Linked DNA regions of Cricetulus griseus. The protein of the gene in region 2 interacts with the protein of the main gene of each other region in a biochemical or structural test. Links are inferred from orthologs where the notes say so. Each region holds a gene or a part of one and is shown on either strand. Other genes may lie near its edges.

Region 1 (6,518 bases), about 110 Mb from region 2:
GAGGCTCTGGCATTTCCTGGGTGCCCGGGTGGCGGTATGGATGCTTCTGGCTCTGCTGGGCTTCTGTCCTGGGTCTGGCCATGCTGACTTACAGTTGTTTTTAACTATATTACCAAGGCAAGTGGGGAGCCTTGATCCCTCCATCTCTTGAGTATCTCAGGTACTTTCCCTCCCACACTGGTGCTTGTGTCCAGCCGGTGGGAAACCTGAAAAGGCTGGATGAGGCCCCCAAACTTGTGTCTTTACAGCTGAGGAGGAGCTGATGGAAGTCGATGAAGCTGGCAGCGTGTATGCAGGCATCCTCAGCTACGGGGTGGGATTCTTCCTCTTCATCCTGGTGGTGGCAGCTGTGACGCTCTGTCGCCTTCGAAGTCCCCCAAAGAAGGGCCTGGGCTCACCCACTGTGCACAAGGTCTCTCGCTTCCCGCTTAAGCGACAGGTAACAGAAAGTAGATACCAGGTTTTGAGCTCCCTGTCTGCATTGGGTTTCCTAGAGTCCCGGTAGTACCCAGGGCCTGGGGCCTCCTAGGACTCATTCCTCTGCAGTTGAGTGGGCTGATCCCTCCCTGTCTATGTTCTCCACATGGAGCCTAAATCTTGTGGTGCAAACAGTTTTTAGTAGTCTTCAGTATCCACTTTATAGAAGTCAGAGAAACCAGCCCTTTTTTTGACCCCACGCCCTGCCTCACATAGACTTAATCTTGCTATTCCTGGTAGCTATACCACCTCACCGCTTTTCCATTGCTCAGCCCACATTGTGTGGTACCAACCTGTCCCTGATGACCCAAGCAGGTATCCTTGGAGTCCAACTCCTCTATGAACTCCAACACACCCCTTGTCCGCATTGCCCGGCTGTCCTCCGGAGAAGGTCCTGTTCTGGCTAATGTTTCTGAACTTGAGCTGCCTGCTGACCCCAAGTGGGAGCTATCCAGGACCCGGTTAGTGGTGGTGAGGGACAGTATGTACTTGGTGGGGGTTCTGGGGCTGGGGACTGGAGAGTTACTAGGCAGGGACCTGTTGAAGGTGGGATGAGATGTTCCTGAGGTAGAGTGCGGGGTGAGATTTGAGGTTTACTTTTGGTCTTCATGAGCAAATGCCCATGGAGCTTCCAGGACACAGTGGCACATGACTATGAGTCCTGGGAGTTCTGGGCACACACTTACTGCCTCTGCTTCTGTGGCCAGGCTGACACTCGGTAAGCCCCTTGGAGAAGGCTGCTTTGGCCAGGTTGTCATGGCAGAAGCTATTGGCATTGACAAGGACCGAACTGCCAAGCCTGTTACGGTGGCTGTGAAGATGCTGAAAGGTGAGAAGGGAGAGAAGTAGAAGGGCATTTTATTATTATTATTATTATTATTATTATTATTATTATTATTATTGGTTTTTCGAGACAGGGTTTCTCTGTGGCTTTGGCGGCTGTCCTGGAACTAGCTCTTGTAGACGAGGCTAGTCTCCAACTCACAGAGATCCTCCTGCCTCTGCCTCCCGAGTGCTGGGATTAAAGGCGTGTGCTACCACTGCCTAATGTAGAAGGGCATTTGAGGGCTGTGGGGCCATTAACAGACAAAACCATTCCTGCTATAGATGATGCCACTGACAAGGACCTGTCGGACCTGGTGTCTGAGATGGAGATGATGAAAATGATTGGCAAACACAAGAACATCATCAACCTGCTGGGGGCCTGCACACAGGGTGGTAGGTGCAGCAGGTGGGCAGATTGGTAGAGGGGGGCTCCTGAGTCACACAGCATCTCAGCTGTGTGTATTCCCAGGGCCCCTGTATGTGCTGGTGGAGTATGCAGCCAAGGGCAACCTACGAGAGTTCCTGCGGGCACGACGGCCTCCAGGCATGGACTACTCCTTTGATGCCTGCAGGCTGCCAGAAGAACAGCTTACTTGCAAGGATCTTGTGTCTTGTGCCTACCAGGTGGCCCGGGGCATGGAATACCTGGCTTCCCAGAAGGTATGCAGAGATAGGTCCCAGACCAGGTGGGGTCTGTCTGGGTGGAAGAGTGAATATCAAACTTGCCTGAGCTGGGGAGGTGTCAGCTTAGCCCAGGTTCCTTGTATGTTTCCTCAGTGCATTCACAGAGACTTGGCTGCCAGAAACGTGCTGGTGACTGAGGATAATGTGATGAAGATTGCAGACTTTGGCCTGGCCCGTGACGTGCATAATCTAGACTACTACAAGAAGACCACAAATGTGAGCCCTGGTCTAGGGTAGTTTGGGTGTAATGCTCCACTGGTGGACACATGAGAGCCAATACCTCTCCCTCTGTCCAGGGCCGGCTACCAGTGAAGTGGATGGCACCAGAGGCCCTGTTTGACCGAGTCTACACCCACCAGAGTGATGTGTATGTATCCCCACATAGGATGGGGCTAGGGAGTTGCACCTCTCACAGCCTTCAGGATCCTGGTCCTCCCAGGCTGTAGTTTATCCCCTCATTGGGCCAACAGTATAGCCCTGGTGTCTTACTTATCCTGGTGCCCTCACCCCTTGCCCATTGGTGGTGTGTCCTGGTGCAGGGCTGCAGCAGCAATGGACCAGGAGTAACAGGCCTTTTGTCCTCACTCCCTTGCAGCTGGTCCTTTGGGGTCCTTCTCTGGGAGATCTTCACACTGGGGGGCTCACCGTATCCTGGCATCCCAGTGGAAGAGCTCTTCAAGCTATTGAAAGAGGGCCACCGCATGGACAAGCCAGCCAACTGCACACATGACCTGTGAGCAAAGCATCCCTTGCTCATTCCTCTACCCAGTCCCTGGGGATGGCAGGATTCCTACCAGGGTCCCTGGGATGAGTAGAGGATTAGTGGCTGGGATGAGGTAGGGATTGCCTGCAGGCCAGGAACTCAATAGCTATACCTGCCACAGGTACATGATCATGCGGGAATGTTGGCATGCGGTACCTTCACAGAGGCCTACCTTCAAGCAGCTGGTAGAGGACTTAGACCGCATCCTTACTGTTACGTCAACTGATGTAAGTGCCACTCAATCCTACTCCCTCTGGGTGTTGTTCCTTGGGGCTCCAGTGGTGGGACTGCCCTTGAAGGTCACAGTCTGAACACAAATGGCCATGGGATTGAAGAGAGTGCCAAGGCACATCCTGACAGCCTTGTCTACCAACAGGAATACCTGGACCTATCGGTGCCTTTTGAGCAGTACTCGCCAGGTGGCCAGGATACTCCTAGCTCCAGCTCTTCAGGAGACGACTCTGTGTTCACCCATGATTTGCTGCCCTCAGGTCCACCCACTAATGGGGGACCTCGGACGTGAGGGGCCAACAATCCTACAGACCAAGCCCTAGCCAATGTTTACGCGGAACCTAGCCCGCTCTGCTATTGCTGGTGTGCAGTGGACTCCAGCCAGCCCAGTGTGATGGACCAACAATAGACAGGACTTCCTGTGTGTGTGTGTCCTTGGCTCCTGGGTGCAGAGGCCCCTTGGGAACATGCACTGCTGTACAGTGGTCTTCTGACTGGCCAGGGTCAGGAGCACCAAATGTAGAATGTAAAGAGGGCCCACCCTGTGCAACCCTGGGGTTCTGGCTCCCTCATTTCCCACTGCCACCTCCCAGGGACCATTGTAGAGAAGGCTATACTCCCATGTCCAGGGTGGACCTTGGCCTTTTTGGTGCCTAAAGCTGAGCCTGCAGGGAAGCTCTGCCCTATGTGGCGAGCCTCTCTTCTACATGGCACCTTGTGTTTGGTGGTGAGTCACAGCTCTCCACCTCCAGGCCTTCTATTTCTCACCCCGACCCTCAGACTGAAATTACGGGTACCTGAAGGTGGGAGCTATAACTTCTATCAGAAAGGTTTATTCCAGAAACAAATGTACATTTATATAAATAGATGTCCTGTATGATATATACATACATATATATAAAAGAATATCTATATGGAGGCAGGCAAAACTGAGGTCCAGAGGAGCAAGATACCCCATAGGGCTCACTGGTAAAATGCCAAGAACAAGCCAAGAAGCAAGGAGCTTTTCTGGCACCACAGTTTTGTTTGTACATGGACCTGTATATTTGTAAAGCTATTTATCATCCCTCAAAGCCCCAGCCCCCCCACCCCAAGTTCATAGTATTTAGTTCTAGGGTATTGCAGAAACTTTTAAGTTGTAACTTATTAACAGTTGAAGAGGTTTATGTGGAATTTTGGGGGTTGCTGAGAATGTGCATCTGGCCCCCAAGGACTAGAGGCAGCCCTTGGAGCTCCAGCAGCCCTCGAGTTAGAGGTGACTCCAGTTCTTACTTCCTTTGGCCCTCTTTCATGGGGGATTAGATTTATATAGGACCTTCCTCTTAGGAGATTTTTAAAAAATTTCAAGGTGACCGGTATTTTCATACAGATTATTCTAATTGATGTATATTCTAGGCAGAAGCCTGTGCCCAGGGAGGAGCCAGCCCTGCCTGAAGGTTCAGATGTTAATAGATGTTACAAGTTTATATATCTATCTCTATATAATTTATTGAGTCTTTATAAGTTGTATTTGCTGTAGCCTTAACACTTCTTATGGAGTGCTTCTAGACTTTTATGGCCTAGACTGCTACCTTTCAAAGCTTGGGAGTAAGAGTGGTGAATTCAGTTTTGTTACTTTTTGTACTGTTACTGGGCCCTAGGCTTGGGTGGCTGTACCTTGCCCATTAGCAAGCAGGGCAAGGACAGTGGCTCAGGGTAACTTTTCTTAGGGCCCAGCACATAGTTTGTCAGCCCAAACTGGCAGATGTGATTTTAACATAGCCAACTTTCTTCCAGAAAATAAAGTGAGAACTGGCTCTGATTTTTTAGAGTGCTTTACCTTCTGTTCTGGGATCTGCACAGCTGTGTCCTTACTGCCTGTGGGGACAGGCGAGGAGGGATAATAGCATCCAAGGAATCAGCAGCCTCTGGTCCCCAGTGCAAGGTGCTGGTCTCAGGCTCCAAGGGGACTAATTATCTTTGCTTTTCCTTACCTGGGTAAGGACAGCTGGGCTCAGGGGTGTCGTCTTGTGGCCGAAGGTGGCAGGTAAAACCTCAGGGTTACTAGTCTATAGGTTCCAAGGAAAGGGTGCAATAGAGTTGTGTCCATCGGAGGCGATCATGGGTGTGTGGAGGAAGTGCTCTTGGCCTCTCCAGCTCCCTGGCTGTCTTGACAGGGGAGGGATCCCATGAAGACAGATGGTGCTTTTAAGTATATGTAGTAATCTCTTTGGGGAAGCCAGGTAACCAAACACCTGGTTTAAGCAATCTACACTGGGCCAAACCTGGTGCAGGGGATCTCTGAGTTTGAGGTAAGCCTAATAATCTACGTAATGAATTTCAGGACAATGTAGAGAGAACTTAGTGTTTCCTTCCTATATCCATTTTGTCTGTCATACTTTCTAACCTTGGGAGAAGATCTAAGGAATGAAATTTCTCTCTTGCTCCACATCTCGCTAGGACTAGGCCCATCTTATAGGAGATTTGCATAGTCAAGGTGACTGAAATACTGGTTCTAGACAGTTGAAATGGGAGGTACAGGGTTTTAGAGGAAACTGTAGGCTTAACTCTCGTTGGTTGACCATAGCAACCTCAATTGGCACCAGACAGTTTCATGCCAGGGACTTGAGCCACATAGATACCTTATGATAGTGACCAGGCATGGAGAGAGAGAGAGAGAGCGCGCGCGGGCGAGAGTGTGTGTGTGTAGGGGCGTGGTACCAGATGGATACATTCTTGTGTGTGTGTGTGTGTGTGTGTGTGTCCGATGGATACATTCTTACCCCTGAAACAGGCTTGACATGGCTTGGGTCACCTGTGTGCCAGTCTGGCGCCCCCTAGTGCCATACTGAGCATAGCTTCCTATGGCAACCTGGAAGTCTTTTTAACTCCAAGAAAAGATTTGAACCAAGGGGTTGGTTCATGGTGACAGAGTGGTCTTGAGAGGAACAGGGGTCATAGGTCAGACCATTCTTGTCCATGATATTCCCATTGCCACCTTAGAAGAGACAGAGGTTTGGGCCTTGAGCTGCACCACCAGTGTCTATTGGGTGGCCACTGCCCAATGAGTAAACAGTATGAGTAGCTCTGTACTACCAAGCATTGGATTTGCATTCAAATCTCCCATGCCTTACTGAACCCAGGCACCTTCTGCTGTGTCTAGTAGTCTCTTTGGGAGGAATCTCTACCTGACTGCATTGCTATTTGGATATGGGAGGCAGTGGTGATGAATGGTTTCCTGGCTTCTGGCTAGCAGCAGGCACAGGTCGGCTCCCAGAACACTCCTGCTTATCCACTGGCATGTAGCTGTGTCCCCAGTGGTCTGAGGATCGGCAGCAAGAATTACTCTCTGGGCTGGAGAGATGGTTCCATGATTTAGTTGAGTACTTGCTGCTCTGATGACCTGGCTTTTATTCTTAACACCTACATGATGGTAACAACTATCAACTCCAGTTCCAGGGGTATGACAACCTCTTCTGGTCTCAGTAGTAGGCATGCACAAGGTGCAATACATACTTGCAGCAAAACAAAATTTTAAAAAAGGCAGGAAACTGTGTCA
Region 2 (7,068 bases):
ATTCTGATCTTTATCCAATCAACCACTTCAGAGCTTTGGATTCCCCTCTGTAAGACAGTTTTCAATTCCAAATAGGAGCCTTCAGCTCCTCCCTAATGCTCATCAGCAGGGGACATCACCACGTGTTCCAGCTTGGACCACAGTGATCCTGCTCATGACAGGAAGTCAGGCACTTCAAGTTCACAACAGCTTTAGCTTGCCAGTGACATGCTTTCATTTCCCATCGAGAATGTGCATCCGAGCAAAACAAAACCAGAATATTGCGTCTTAAAATGAGCTTCGTAAATTCGAACACATTTTTAAACCGTCACTTCCCATTTCCCAATGTTAGCTGGCTAGAAAGTGAGAACGTGTTAGAGATTCCTTTTTCTTAAGTATTGCTTTAAGAATTTGGCTCATTTCACCTTAGTATAGAGTGAGAAATGGTCTCCCTTGCCCAATAGCAAGTTCCAGAATTTTTGCTCTCAAATAAGTATGTATTCTTAAGCTTTTCCATATAGAATGTTATAAAAAGATTCTGTAAAAGTGTTTTACACAGTAACCTTCTCTCTGTGAACTCTTGAAGACCGATTCAGAAAAGAAAGCACAGGCAATGAGTACAGTACCCCTCTAATGTCATTACTGATAAAGATTTATTGGTTTCATGTTGCAAGTTTTACTTAAAGGGTACTAGCCCCGTGTAATTATGACAGTTCACACCAAAAGCAATCTCCATAAAAGATGTTATAATGAGCCCTACGGTCCTTGTATAAATCCATATTTGATAGCCAAGACACAAATAAAAAGTTTACAAGAATGATCCTGTTCATCTGATGTTTGCCTCAAAAAATAATAATTATTATAAGAGAGGAGGAAGAAGGAAGAGGAGAAGAAAGAAGAAAAAAGAAAGGAGGGGGAAAGGAAGAGGAAAAAGGAGGACGAGGAGGAAGAGATCTGTACTACATAAATGTTTTGTTTTTTTTTCCTCTCCCTTGGTAATTGTAAAATCAGTGTCATGTTTGATGTTAGTCTTGTTGTCGTGGAAGTGGTCTGAAATGAAAAGGCATAGTTATTGCTTAGCTTTGGTACACTCTGCAATAGATTAAAACAAGTAAGACATACACCAACCCTCATTCGTTCCAACCGCCCAGTTACACTGAGTTATGAGAGAGGAAAATTACAGACACGGAGTGAAGGGCTGAGACCCAGTTCATCTTTAATCCTCTGGGGTAAGCTATGAAACAAGCAGTCTGGAGAGTGAACACTCAGTGTCGTGAGCGATGTGCAGAAGTTTACAATAACATGGGCACAAAATAGATTGTCGCCTTTAGTACATTAGGGCCATTAGAATCTCTTGTACACCTACTTGCATGAAGTTACCACAGGTTCATAGCAGACTTTGCCATTTAATGCCTACAGAGCCTAAAGCTTCCAAAATGCCTATCTGGCCTGTACATATTTCATTAAAAATAAACTCTATATAATAAATAAATATATAAAATAAATAAAATGTTGCCTTTGGAATTTCTATAAATAAATTTAACCTTTTTTCTTTTTTTCTTTTTTCTTTTTTTTCTTTTTTCTTCTTCCTTTTTTTTTCTTTTAAACTAAGAGGTCTTTTGCTTTAAGTTCACTGGGCTACGATACCAGTGAGAATGAACTGACAGTCTTTTAAGTGAGACTGCACCCTCCACGCCTGTGGAAAGGCAGTGTTCCCTTGAGCAGGCCACCAGCCAAAAATCCTGATGAGTTGAAGTATGGCAGCTGTGCTGATAAACGATGAAGTTCAACTGATCGAAAATGTAAAAGCGTGTCTATTTCCCAGCATGCATCAGGCCGTTGTCCTCTTGGCGCTCTGCTGTCCCCCTCTCCTCACTCACTCATGCACTCGCACCCTCCCTCTCGCGCAGCCTCTCTCCCCTGCTTTCACAATAAATCAAGCAAGTGGCCCCAGGCAGCCCTCCAGAAGGACCAGCCAGTAAGTGCAGAGCAAATCAGCAAGTCCCCATCCAAGCTTCCATCATACATATGCATGCGACAAAGTTTGGCAACAGTGGAGCTGAGGTGGTGGCCCTGCTAATCAATAAGATCCCACCGCATGAAGCATTGATAGTGGTTATGTTTTAAGGGCTCAAGTGAAGACACTGTCTTTGTCAACTTTGGCTTAGAATATCCTTATATAGTTCAGGTACTTTGTCCGGGTCCACTGGTCTAGGTAAAAAATGTGTAAATTTCTGGTGCCGTTTAGTCCTGGTCCCTTCTCTTGGAGTCCCATCCTTATTTAATGCAACATAGTATCTCCTTCCGGTGTCCACGTGTTTATAGAGGTTGGAAGAGTAGGTGTTGTACCAATTCTCTTCAAACTGTTCTCTGAATACACACTCTTGTGTGAGTTTTTCCTGTCAAAAAAGAAGAAAGGAAATAAATACATTGCAAAATGTAGCTGCCTCATTAAAAATCAATACTCTCCATTGTTACACACAAGTTGAGTCCCCTTTATCCTAGATACTTTAGACCAGACTACTTCTAAACTATTTTTATTTTGGATTTTGAAATATTTGCATATGCATGAAGAGATATCTAGGATATGTGACCCATATCTAAACACAAAATTCACTTACATTTCAAATACACCTTCTGTGCATAGCCTGGAGGTAATCTTGCATCATATGTTTTCATTAAAATTCTCATAATATGGAATTTTCTGCTTGTGACATCATGTTAGTGATGAAAAAATTGTTTAAATGTGGGGACATTTCAGAGTTCAGACTTCCAAATCAAGTATGCTTGAACCATATAAGAATAATCATTTTTTTATTTTAAACTTTATTATTAAAAAGTTGAAAGTAAGAAAAATCACACGTGGAAATTAACAACTGAAAAACTACATGATTCAGTGAACTTCTAAACGGTTAAATTTACTGTCAGAACGGAAGTTGTGAACCTTCGTATTGGATTCTATACTTTCACTATCAAATAAATTGTACATACTTATCCACCACCAAAAATGAAAAATCCAGTTTTAACTACTTCAATGCACTTTCCAAAAACTGTTTTATCTCTATCAACTTAATGACATTTGAATTTCTTATTCAAGATGGCTAAAGCACAAAGAATTTTAAACATCTGGGGAAAGGGGAATGAATCATAATACTGATTTTTTTGAAGACAAGATTCACATTACTTTTTACAATTCAATGTAAAAATGTCAAGGACAAAGTCAAGAAAAGGGTAGCACCTTGATGACTATGAAAACATTCAATCTGCTGACAGCACCTAGACACTGTCTCTTGGGTCTCTTTCATGTCAGACGATGTATTCAAAGGACAGCTGACCCACTCATGATTCTCATTTCCCCACAGCATCTGGAAAGTAGCCTCACTGGGAAGGGTTTGCCCAAGTGGAGACTCTAAGAACCACCTCATTGTCAATACATGTTCATAAAGTACTTGCTGTATCCAATGATGTCCACAGTGTTAACAGTAAGCGAAGCCTGGGAGCATCCTGCTGCATGGATTATTCTCTGAAGTGTGGCACATTCACCTGAGCCATGTCTTCAACCTTTGGGTTATGGAAGCCTCTACCCTTTAAAACTCTGATCTCAAAATGTACAAAACAGCTGTTTTTAAAATCCCTAGGAGAGCCAGGCAGTGGTGGGGCATGCCTTTAATCCTAAACTCTGTAGGCATAGGCAAGTGGATCTCTGAAGTTCAAAGCCAGTCTGGTCTACAAAGTATGTTGCAGGACAGCCACGGCTACACAGAGAAACTCTGTCTCAAAAAAACCAATCTAATTCTAAGGCAAACCATTCTTAGTCCACATTTTAAGATATCCATTATACCTTGATACTCTCAAAGGATTGGCTTGAAGATGTCTCACAGCATCTTTGACTGTTCAGGTCCCCTTACATATAAATGGTGTGCTTGCCTGCAACCTATCCCATCCTCCCTCAGACTTTAAACTATCTCTAGATAACCAATGATACCTAATACAGAGTAAATGCAGGGTAAGTAGTTACATAGACTCATTGAAGACACAGCTTCTTAAACTATGGGGTGTGGTCCCATTGGAACTGCACAACTGAACATGGGGCTCACAAAAGGAATTGGCAACCACAAAAGGTCTCCAAATGTGCAACAACCAAAGCTAATTGAAACTCAAATTCAAAATAAATCTGAGGCGCCGCTGGCAGCACTCTCCCATGTTGCGTCACAGGACTTCACTGCAGCCTTGTTCTGAACAAAACATCATGCGTGTTCCGTACTGCTCACGCTGAGGCCACACAGAGCCAAGCGGCATGGCCTGAAGCTCCTTGGCTCAGACCTGAGACTGTTAAGTACGGAGAACTGTAATGTTTTCACCATACATAAAACCTTTTCTGCTCTTGTAAAAACAAAACCATTTAATTATGAGAAACAAAGACTTTTCATATTTTCCACCTTAATATGTAAACTTTTCAAATTAGAACATCTTTCGATTGTATTATAGAAGATTGCTTGATTTTAAAAATTGTTATTTGAATTTAATAAAATCTGAGTTGCTGACTTGAGTTTTATTAAAAAATAAATTTTGGCTTGAGATTAGAATAGAATTTCCAACCATTTATGAAATGGTCTAAACATACTTCTGACATTTTGTACAATGTATTTATGCAAAGCAGCACTCTCAGCATAAACTATTCAAAAACCAAACTCCTGGTCATCTCTGAAAAGCACTGAAAGTTCTCTGTGTCTGCACAACAAATATTCAGCCAAGATTTAATTCTCTGTGTAAACATAAGCAAGCTTGTCCATTTCACTAGAACGCAAACTGGTTTTATCTTTACATATAGGCCAAAGAACTGTTTCAAATTTTCTTTTCAATTTATTATTATCACGTGTTTGATTTGTGTATATATTTTATACACCCCTATACCCAGGAGCACAAAGCACTCACGAGTGGGGAAAGTCTAAAGCCCTAGTTTAGGAAATAAAGACAACAGGAATGTGTGTGGAGGGTTCTCAGTCCACGGTGGTTGGATCTTCGGAAGCACAGCCAGGGAGTCAGGAGGAATAGCCATAATGCTTTCTGTCTTGACTGGGGTAATGGCTCCAAACAAATCCTCTAGCCCCCTTATTTCATGAGCCACGCTCAGGTGCAGAGATGCCAAGATGAAAAAAGCTAGCCTCGGTTTTACAGGATTTACATTCCCACTGCAAGAAAATCTCTCTGCCTTCTTAAATATCATCCCCTTCCTCTTTCCCTGAGCTCTATAACCTCACAGTGTGGAGACCATGCTGTCATGTCAGCCATGACCAGAAATGACACATCCATCACATCCCACAGCTAGGAACACACTCTGGGCTGCAGTGTGTGTACTGAGGCTGCTCCTAGTGAAAGGAGGAAAGGGACACTTCCACCCTTGGCTCCTATCACCACACAATTGAAACCTTTAAAATCAATACCTTTCTAGTTGCTTGTTTTAAAACTAAGAGTGCTCTTGCGTCCTTTCTGCTGGGCACCTGCTGGTTGCTATCCAAATGGGAAAGTTCATGAAATCAGGGAAAGTGGTACTGGCCCTGGCTGAATGCTACTCCAGATGCAACAGTGTCCTGAAGAACATTGATGATGGCACCTCAAACTCTCCCTATAGCCATACTCTGGGGGCTGCAATTGACTGCTACCCTCACCAAACTGGCAGGTGCACACGAAAGATGGGAATTACCAACAGGAGTATAACCACAATCACCTCCTACCTCCTCCAAAGTACCGTGTGACTATCTCCTGGGATAAAACTGTCATTAAAGGTTGTCTTCAGAGGCCAGCTCTGAAACAGAAGACCAAACAGGAGGGCAAGGTCTGAGACATGACACAAGATGGGCAGGAACAAACAATTCTTCTAGAAGCTTAAGTGTTAGGTGTATTTTTGTTTCCATCATTAAAAATAGGAAAAGGTGACTTTTAAAAATTAATTGCTTTGCATTTGTCCACTTGGCACATTGGATAAGTGAGAAGAGAAATAAGCCAGACCCATGGGCGGGCTCTGCAGCCATAGATGCAACCGGTGGCAGACTGAAGTTATTTGGAGTGTTGGTTGCATGAGGACCAAACATGTTCTGTCTTTCCTGTCACTGTGCTTCCCAAACATGTTATGATAGGAGTTTCTGGAGTGTTGACGGTGATTTCAGGGTTCTGAGTTATGCAAAGATAATGGGCAGAAAGATATGTATAGCTTTTATGCAGTACTATGGCAGATCTGGGTATGTCGAGGGGGTCATAGAACTAATCCCTTACAGATACTAAGGGACAACTGTCATCTTCTGCCCCTGTCATTCAGAACGGAGGGCACACAACACACTTTACATAGCACCAAAGCACTGATGCCCTTTTATACTCATATATTAAGCATATGACTTAATACACTAAGTTTAGGAGAAGCCAACCGGATAGATTCATCTTCTCCCATTGTTAGAAAGTCAAGAGGGCTGAAGAGAAAAGGACAGAATTTTACAAATCAACCAGCACTTCAACATAAGTCATGCTGTACCTTGTCTTTTTATTTTTTTATTTACAGTTCTTGGGATGGGGGGGGGCGGCTCATGTCATGGCCCATGTGTGGAAGTCAATTTCACCTTCCACAATGTGGGTCCCAGAGAGTAAACTCGGGTGCTCAGCCTTAGTAGCAAGCGTCTTTCCCCACTGAGCCATCTTACTGGCCCCTCATCTCTTTCCTAACCCTAAACCTGAAAGAACATCTAACAGCTCTTACTGGCTTCCTCATAAGCACTCTTCCAAGTGGCCAAAAATCATCAGCAAGGTTTCTGGTGTTGCTTTGGTTTGGTTATTGGGTTTTGTGATGTTGGAGATCAAATGCTGGGCCTTGTACATACTAGCTAGACAAGCGCTCTACCACTGAGCGCCCCACGCCTCAGCTCTGAGGTTTTTAACAAAGTATCACCTCATCCGACAAACTTACTGTGTAAGCTGAAACAAGAGAGTAAAAGAAAAGGGTCAGCCTGATCACAGGGGATTTATAGAGACAACACGCACAGCAGAAAGCGAGCCCTCATCCATCACCCAGAGTACCACTTACACTCGGGCTGCTGCCAC
Region 3 (7,157 bases), about 160 Mb from region 2:
CCTTTGGGATCAGCTTCCCCCAGCCCTTAGCTGTGCTTGCCACCTCCCTCCCTCACACCACTCTCTGGTTTGTATGTGAAGCCGACGCAACAGAGAAGGACTTATCAGATCTGATCTCGGAGATGGAGATGATGAAGATGATTGGCAAGCACAAGAATATCATCAACCTGCTGGGGGCATGCACACAGGATGGTAGGTGCTCCCAGGGGAGGTCTGGGCTCCGGGCATCGGCTAGGGAACTGGCTTAGCAGGGAGTTCAATGTGTTTCTCAGGGGCTGGGCTGGCCTGACTGGCATTCTTCCAAGATTACTTCCTGACACCTAGATTCAGTGTGTGAATCGGAACAAGGATGTTACTGGATTCTACAATAGGGCTCCTACTCTCAGCGCTGCTTGGGTACTTTCTGGACTCTACTGGGAAGAATTCTTTTTCTGACTTTCTATGGGAAGAATGACTTCCCCTGTTCTCATCCGGAGGAGTCAGGAAAGGGAGTTTACACTAGGCATGGGACACGTGTGGGCTGTGACATTTGGAGGAGGGGCTTCCATTTGGTGTAGCTACACCTGCTGACCTTTTGCCTGACCTGTGGTCTCTATCTTTGTGCTTGTAGGTCCTCTTTATGTCATCGTGGAGTATGCCTCCAAAGGCAACCTTCGGGAATATCTGCAGGCCCGGAGGCCTCCTGGGCTGGAATATTGCTACAACCCCAGCCACAACCCCGAGGAACAGCTGTCCTCTAAAGATCTGGTATCCTGTGCCTATCAGGTGGCCCGGGGCATGGAGTATCTTGCCTCTAAGAAGGTATGAGGCCTGATTGCACCCTTCCCCTCAAAAGACAGGGTGGGACTGAAGCCACCTAGCGCTCCAATTTATGACTACATAGTCCATGCTGGCCTTGAGCTCATCTTGTGCCCCCATCTCTGTGGTGCCAGGATGCTGCATGCATTAATGTGCCTGGCTCCAGCTTACAACTGTTAATTCTTTAGAGCTTGGGGTGCACAAAACCAGACCCCTTGTATTTAACTAGGTTCTCCGAGAAACTGAGTTAGGAAAGCCCTTGTCACCTTGGGGCCCGATTGAATTGTTTGAAATCTACACAGCCACTTTCTGCATAGACTTAGGCAACTATTTTTAAATTTACATCTAAGGTCCCATTTGGTAAGAGAGTCTGGCCTCAAATTCATTGTACAGCACAGGCTGGCCTTAAATTTGTGATTCTCCTGCCTCAGCCTCTCAAGTGCTGGTGTTATAGGCATGTGCCACTGAACCTAGCTTTGTATTTCTTCAGATAAAAAATAGGAATACTAATTTCTATGTCCTGGAATTACTGTGAGGATAAGATGACTTGTGTCTGTGAAAGTGACTGTCACAGGTTTCAGTGTTCACTATATCTTTGCTCGAATTCCCTACCCAGTGCAGACATGCTCTGCCAGGGAGAACACGGCTCAGTACACACACTCCACAGCCTAAGTGCACGCCTAAACATTCTGTTTTGGGGTTATAATTCCAAAAGCTAGAGGTTGGGATCAAGAAGGAAGGCATACATAAAGGAGGGCTTGCTAAAGTGACTGAGAAGACTACGGCTGAAGGTGTTGGGAATTAAAGAATATCCTGGGGGGTTGTCCAGAGAGTATGGTGGGAGTGTGGGCAGAAGGCCTACGAGGTAAAGTGGTCCACCACCTACTACACAATAAGTGCTGGAGTAGAGGGGGCTAGATGGGTGTGTGTCGGAGGATGGTTCAAGGTTGTCACCGCCCCTCCCATCTTCCCTGTCTGCAGTGCATACACCGAGACCTGGCTGCTAGGAATGTCCTGGTGACAGAAGACAATGTAATGAAGATCGCAGACTTTGGCCTAGCTCGAGACATTCACCATATCGACTACTATAAAAAAACCACCAATGTAAGTAACTTGCTTGGCATCTCCCAGGTCCCACACCCCCACTAGGCTTTTGCTATACTCTCTGCTATACTCACGTGGGGTTGTGTGATCTAAGAAAAGGTGCTGTAGGATGGGCTGAAAATGTACGTGCTGTGCCCTGGGTCCCACCTATCCCTGCCCTGCTTGTCCCCTCACTGCCCTGAGCCATCATCTTTAATTCTCCCATGAGCTGTCTATGTCATTTCTCCCCCACACTGCTGCTTGCAGGGCCGGCTGCCTGTGAAGTGGATGGCACCCGAGGCCTTGTTTGACCGGATCTACACCCACCAGAGTGACGTGTGAGTTTGAAATACACAATTACCCGGGATATGCTGGGGAAAGAATACTAGCAGTCTTGCATCTCTAGACTGCTGAGAATTTCTTTCCATCATTGGGTGGGGAAGGGCAATGTCTTGTCCCGTGAACATGTTTCAGCCTTTTTTTTGCATTGCCCCTTGCTGCCCCCTTGTCTCCTGTGCCCTGTCTCCTGAACTTAAGGGCTGTGCTGGGGGTGGAGAGGTTCAAGATGAGCACCTGCCCTGCTGACTTCTCAAGAGGACATAGAAAAGAAACCCTAGGGCAGCCTGGCCCTGTGCCGTAAGTCACAGTGGCACCATGTTCTCCTGTAGGTGGTCTTTTGGGGTGCTCTTGTGGGAGATCTTCACTCTGGGTGGCTCCCCATACCCTGGTGTGCCTGTGGAAGAGCTCTTCAAGCTGCTGAAGGAGGGTCATCGGATGGACAAGCCCACTAACTGTACCAATGAGCTGTAAGCATGAATTGGGGGAAAGACTGTGGGGGAAGGCCTGCTGGTAGTTGGCACCATTGAATCCACCGCTGGCAAGCTGGGTCATATGTTGAGGAAATCAGGAAGGGCTCCTTAGGTGGCGGCTCATGGGAGGTTCTTGAAGTCCTCGGGCTCTGAAGGAAGTGGGAGCATGGAGGGCAGATAATGAAACTGTGTGTTTGGAGGGAGCAGCCTCCCGAGTCATGCCGCCCCTGCCCTCTGGCCCAGCTCTGCTGTTGCCTTCCATCTTTGACCTCACTGTCCTGCTTCAGGTACATGATGATGCGGGACTGCTGGCACGCAGTACCCTCTCAGAGGCCCACTTTCAAGCAGCTGGTGGAAGACCTGGACCGCATTGTGGCCTTGACCTCCAACCAGGTAGAGCTACTCTGGGCTGAAACTTGAGCGGTCATCACATAGGCACTAAGGGGACCCTGCCATAAGAAGGTTTGTGTGCCATCTATCCTTTCCTTCTGTCACAGGAATATCTGGACCTGTCGATGCCTCTGGACCAGTACTCTCCCAGCTTTCCCGACACACGGAGCTCTACCTGCTCTTCAGGGGAGGACTCTGTCTTCTCTCATGAGCCGTTGCCTGAGGAACCCTGTCTGCCCCGACACCCGACCCAGCTTGCCAATGGTGGACTCAAAAGACGCTGACTTCCCCGGCCTTTCCCCAATTTCGTCGTCACCTGTGCCCCTCACCCGTAATTCCCTGCGGGACACACTGCCTTTCCCCTTCTCCTTTGCTGCTGGCAAGAGCCAGTGTGTACCTGAGGCCTTCCTGTGAGGCCTACCCCATCGTCACTCCCCACCCCGCCCCAGATCCCTCTTCCTCTTCTCAACCGGCCATGTGAGAAGGGAGTCAAGAGGCAGGTACTTGCTGGTAGCCACTTCCTCCTTCCCAGGTGTTGGACCAAGACCCATCCTGCTGCCTGGTACTCCTTGGAGGCCTGGGGAGTAGAAGCAAGTGGAACAGGTGTGCAAGCAAGAGCTCTCTGGAGTGTTCTGGTTGACTCATTGGCCTCCTGTGTTCTGGTGGCAGCAGCCTTGTGGCTACTGAAGCAATGGGGTTTGTTTCTGTTCGGGCCTTAACTGAAGGCAGTCTCTGCTTCAGATGGGGGGTATCAGTGGCTTCTTAATTCCAATACTAATTTGCTTTGCTGACCAAATACCTGGTACCAGAAGAGAGTGAGGCAGAGATCGGGGGCAGCGATGTGGCCCTGGGGCTGAGCCCTAGACTCGGGGCTCTGTACATAGCTATGAAGAAAACACAAAGTGTATAAATCTGAGTATATATTTACATGTCTTTTTAAAAGGGCCGTTACTAGAGATTTACCCGTTGGGTGAGATGCTCCTGGTGGCTGGGAGGCATCCATTGCTATATATTAAAAACAAAAACAAAAACAAAAAAAAAAAAAGGAAAATGTTTTTTAAAAGGTCATATATTTTTTGCTACTTTTGCTGTTTTATTTTTTTAAATTATGTTTTAGACCTATTTTCAGTTTAGGTCCCTCAATAAAAATTGCTGCTGCTTCATTTTTATCCTGGGCGTGTGAAAAGGGAGCAGATGTCCCCTGCAAAAGAGGGAGACAGGGACTAAGGGGCCATGAGCTGTTGGCACTGTGTGATTTCTATATTTCCCTGACCTCCCAGACCCTTCTATCTCTGATGATTTGGGAAAGACAGGGAAAGAAGACCAAAGTAACGGAGGGCAGAGAACCAAGACTAAGAGCTTGTTCCCTCTGATCATAGATTGTTTCCTCAGAGGAGATGAGACTAGCCAACGGTAGAACAAACCATACAGAGACTCAAAGCCCAAACCCTGTGTGGGTGCGCCTTTGCATCTATGAGAGATGCAAAGCTAGTCTTGTCTTAACCAACCTACTCTCCATTTCCTTTCCCATTCCTATCCTGCCCTTCCTGAGTCCTGTTACCAGGTTGCATTTGTTGTGACTATCCCTGATCTTGGTTTGTAGTTTTTCCTGTACAAACTCCACCCACCCCTCAGGAAAGGAAAAACAATCTTCTTTGGTTTGGGTCTGCTTGGAGACTTACTCCTGCCACCTGCTGGTGGTTATTGTCCTCTTCAGGAGGCACCTTATCATCTTACTCAGACCAGCGCCGCTCTATTCTTAGTGCTTACTGCTGGGTCACTGGGGAATACAAGACAATTCAATATGGCCTCATCCTGCAGGGGTTAGGGCTGCCTCTTTAAATACATTCTGAACGGGGTGTTTTTGGTGGCTGTGGTTTTGGTCATCATCATAGAGTTGTTATCATTGTTTCCCTCTGTAAACCTGTAACTATCAAAGTATTACAAGTGTTTTCTTGTGCTGAAAGGTATAATTCGGCGAAGAGGACCAGGGAATGAATTTTAGCTCAGAATCATCTGCTTAGAGACCATATCATAGTGTCGTTTTCCTTGTTAAAACAGTGACCATAATTTCTGCCTCAGCGCTGCTTGACTCAATGCTGTGTGGATGGATGGGAGGAGAATCTACGGAGTGCTTTGTATGACTCAAGGAAAGGTGCTAGGGTATATAAGGCACTGAAGTCCTTGCTGTTGCTATTCAAATTGCCCACAAATATCCCCTGAGGCAGGGATGGCTATCAAATAAAACATAGTGAAATTGACCTGAAAGAAAATGAAATGGCTATTTTACTTAGGTGACCAGATTGAGTCTCTTGGGAAAGGGAATCCAGCTTATATAATGAAGATGTGCTGTCAAAGTACTGCATCTGTCTGGTTTCCTGGGGGTTAAAATATGGCCAAGGCATCAATCAATACTGCCTTTCAATCCTTTCTAATTGCCAGAGGCTAGAGATCATCAGTCCCTTGGCTCTGTTAATGTAATATATTGATTTCAGGTAAGTAAGATTGAGCATAGATGAAGTAAGAAATGTGCCTTAATGGTAATGAAGTCTGTCTATCAGCTGCCACCGGGTGGAGCCAGCAACCTAAAATCCCCCCACCATATTAGGTAGTGGGCCACTTTGCTCTGAAGTAACAGACCTACCTTCCATTTGGAATCCTTGGCCTGGATTTAGTATTCTAAAACTCTGGACGTGACCAATATGGCTTGTGCAGAATTAGACCTGTTACAAGTGCTGGGTGATACTATTAAATAAAATGCCACCAACAACTATTATGGCAGACTCCTGTGTAAGGTGTGAGCTGTGTCTAGTGTCACTCCAGGTGCATGTTAGAGGTGGCCTAAATTGTACCCTGTGAGATTATTAGTAGCTGGTGGAGCCAAGACACCTACATCTGCAGGGAAGAAGAGAACGGGGGGGGGGGGGACGGACGGACGGACGGACTTGGAAGCAACATGGCTCGGCCTTCCAGCCCCTTAACTGGTAGAAACCAAGAAGGGAGAAGACCAGCAAGAACCCTGAGGTTGGCTGGACCTGGTCATACATGCCTTTAATCCCAGCACTCAGAAAGCAGAGGCAAGCAAATCTGAGTTCAAGGCCAGCCTAGTCTACATTGTGAGTTCAAGGCCTGCTAAAGATGCACAGGGAGACCCTGTCTAAAAGAAAATTAAACAAGAACACTGAAGTTATGAAGGGTTCCAGAACCAGTTCCCTCACTGGACAATGTCCAGAATCATCTTTGCTGTACTGCCTCCCAGATGCGTGCAGTACATGCATCTAGTAAAAGTAGTGCGTTTAGTGGCCAAGCTGCCAGTCATAGGTTCCAGTGGTGTGCTGCAGCTGGTATGTGCTTCTTTGCAGTGAAGTCATCCTTTTTAGGGTACATTTCCATCCTTGGGATCTGCAGCTGTGGTTACTGATCATTGGCTAATGCACTACTAGTGAGGTTGCAGTCTGGGGTTATGGCCAAGTATCCTAAATGTTGAAAATGGAAGCATTGATATCATCTATAAAGATGGGTAGAGAAAGGTATCAAGTATCTCTCTAGCCTAGAAGTTAGCAAAAACAAGTAAAGCTACTACTAGTTCAAGGCCAGTTTGGACTAATGAAACACACAAATTCCCAGCCATGGTGGCACATGCTTTTAATCCTATCACTTGGGAGGCAGAGGCAGATTAATCTCTGCTATCAAGGCTGGCCTGGGCTACAGAGAGAGTTCCAGGACAGCTAGGGCTATGCAGAGAAACCTTGTCTTGAAAAACCAGAACAACCCACAAATGAAACAAATTAACAAGAGAGCAGACCTGGTGACACATGCCTTTAATACCAGAACTCAAGAGGGCAGCTGATGATGATCTCTGTAAATTCAAGGCCAGCCTGGTCTACAGAGCAAGTGCCAGGATAGGCTCCAAAGCTGGTATGTGCTTCTTTGCAGTGAAGTCATCCTTTTTAGGGTGCATTTCCATCCATCAGGAGATCCGCCTGCCTCTGCCTCCTGAGTGCTGGGATTAAAGGTGTGTGCCAACAACACCCAGCCTTTTTTTGTTTTTGTTTTTTGTTTTTTCAAGATAGGATC

The links.
Region 1: the proteins of Fgf9 (region 2) and Fgfr3 form a complex in vitro, tested with the Homo sapiens proteins (3 studies listed by BioGRID and IntAct, with this or other methods). The link is inferred for Cricetulus griseus from reciprocal best matches to the Homo sapiens genes FGF9 and FGFR3.
Region 3: the proteins of Fgf9 (region 2) and Fgfr1 interact in a biophysical measurement, tested with the Homo sapiens proteins (2 studies listed by BioGRID and IntAct, with this or other methods). The link is inferred for Cricetulus griseus from reciprocal best matches to the Homo sapiens genes FGF9 and FGFR1.

What each region holds. Positions count from the first base shown.
Region 1 is NW_023276807.1:102,791,572-102,798,089, forward strand, and holds the end of Fgfr3 (fibroblast growth factor receptor 3), read left to right. Parts: intron 1-248; coding exon 249-439; intron 440-789; coding exon 790-938; intron 939-1,184; coding exon 1,185-1,306; intron 1,307-1,584; coding exon 1,585-1,695; intron 1,696-1,771; coding exon 1,772-1,962; intron 1,963-2,079; coding exon 2,080-2,202; intron 2,203-2,282; coding exon 2,283-2,353; intron 2,354-2,581; coding exon 2,582-2,719; intron 2,720-2,870; coding exon 2,871-2,976; intron 2,977-3,125; coding exon 3,126-3,272; 3' UTR 3,273-4,781; downstream 4,782-6,518.
Region 2 is NW_023276807.1:213,232,283-213,239,350, reverse strand, and holds the end of Fgf9 (fibroblast growth factor 9), read right to left. Parts: intron 2,379-7,068; coding exon 2,133-2,378; 3' UTR 2,104-2,132; downstream 1-2,103.
Region 3 is NW_023276807.1:58,201,312-58,208,468, reverse strand, and holds the end of Fgfr1 (fibroblast growth factor receptor 1), read left to right. Parts: intron 1-81; coding exon 82-192; intron 193-610; coding exon 611-801; intron 802-1,779; coding exon 1,780-1,902; intron 1,903-2,148; coding exon 2,149-2,219; intron 2,220-2,549; coding exon 2,550-2,687; intron 2,688-2,977; coding exon 2,978-3,083; intron 3,084-3,187; coding exon 3,188-3,364; 3' UTR 3,365-5,341; downstream 5,342-7,157. UniProt on the Homo sapiens protein: Tyrosine-protein kinase that acts as a cell-surface receptor for fibroblast growth factors and plays an essential role in the regulation of embryonic development, cell proliferation, differentiation and migration.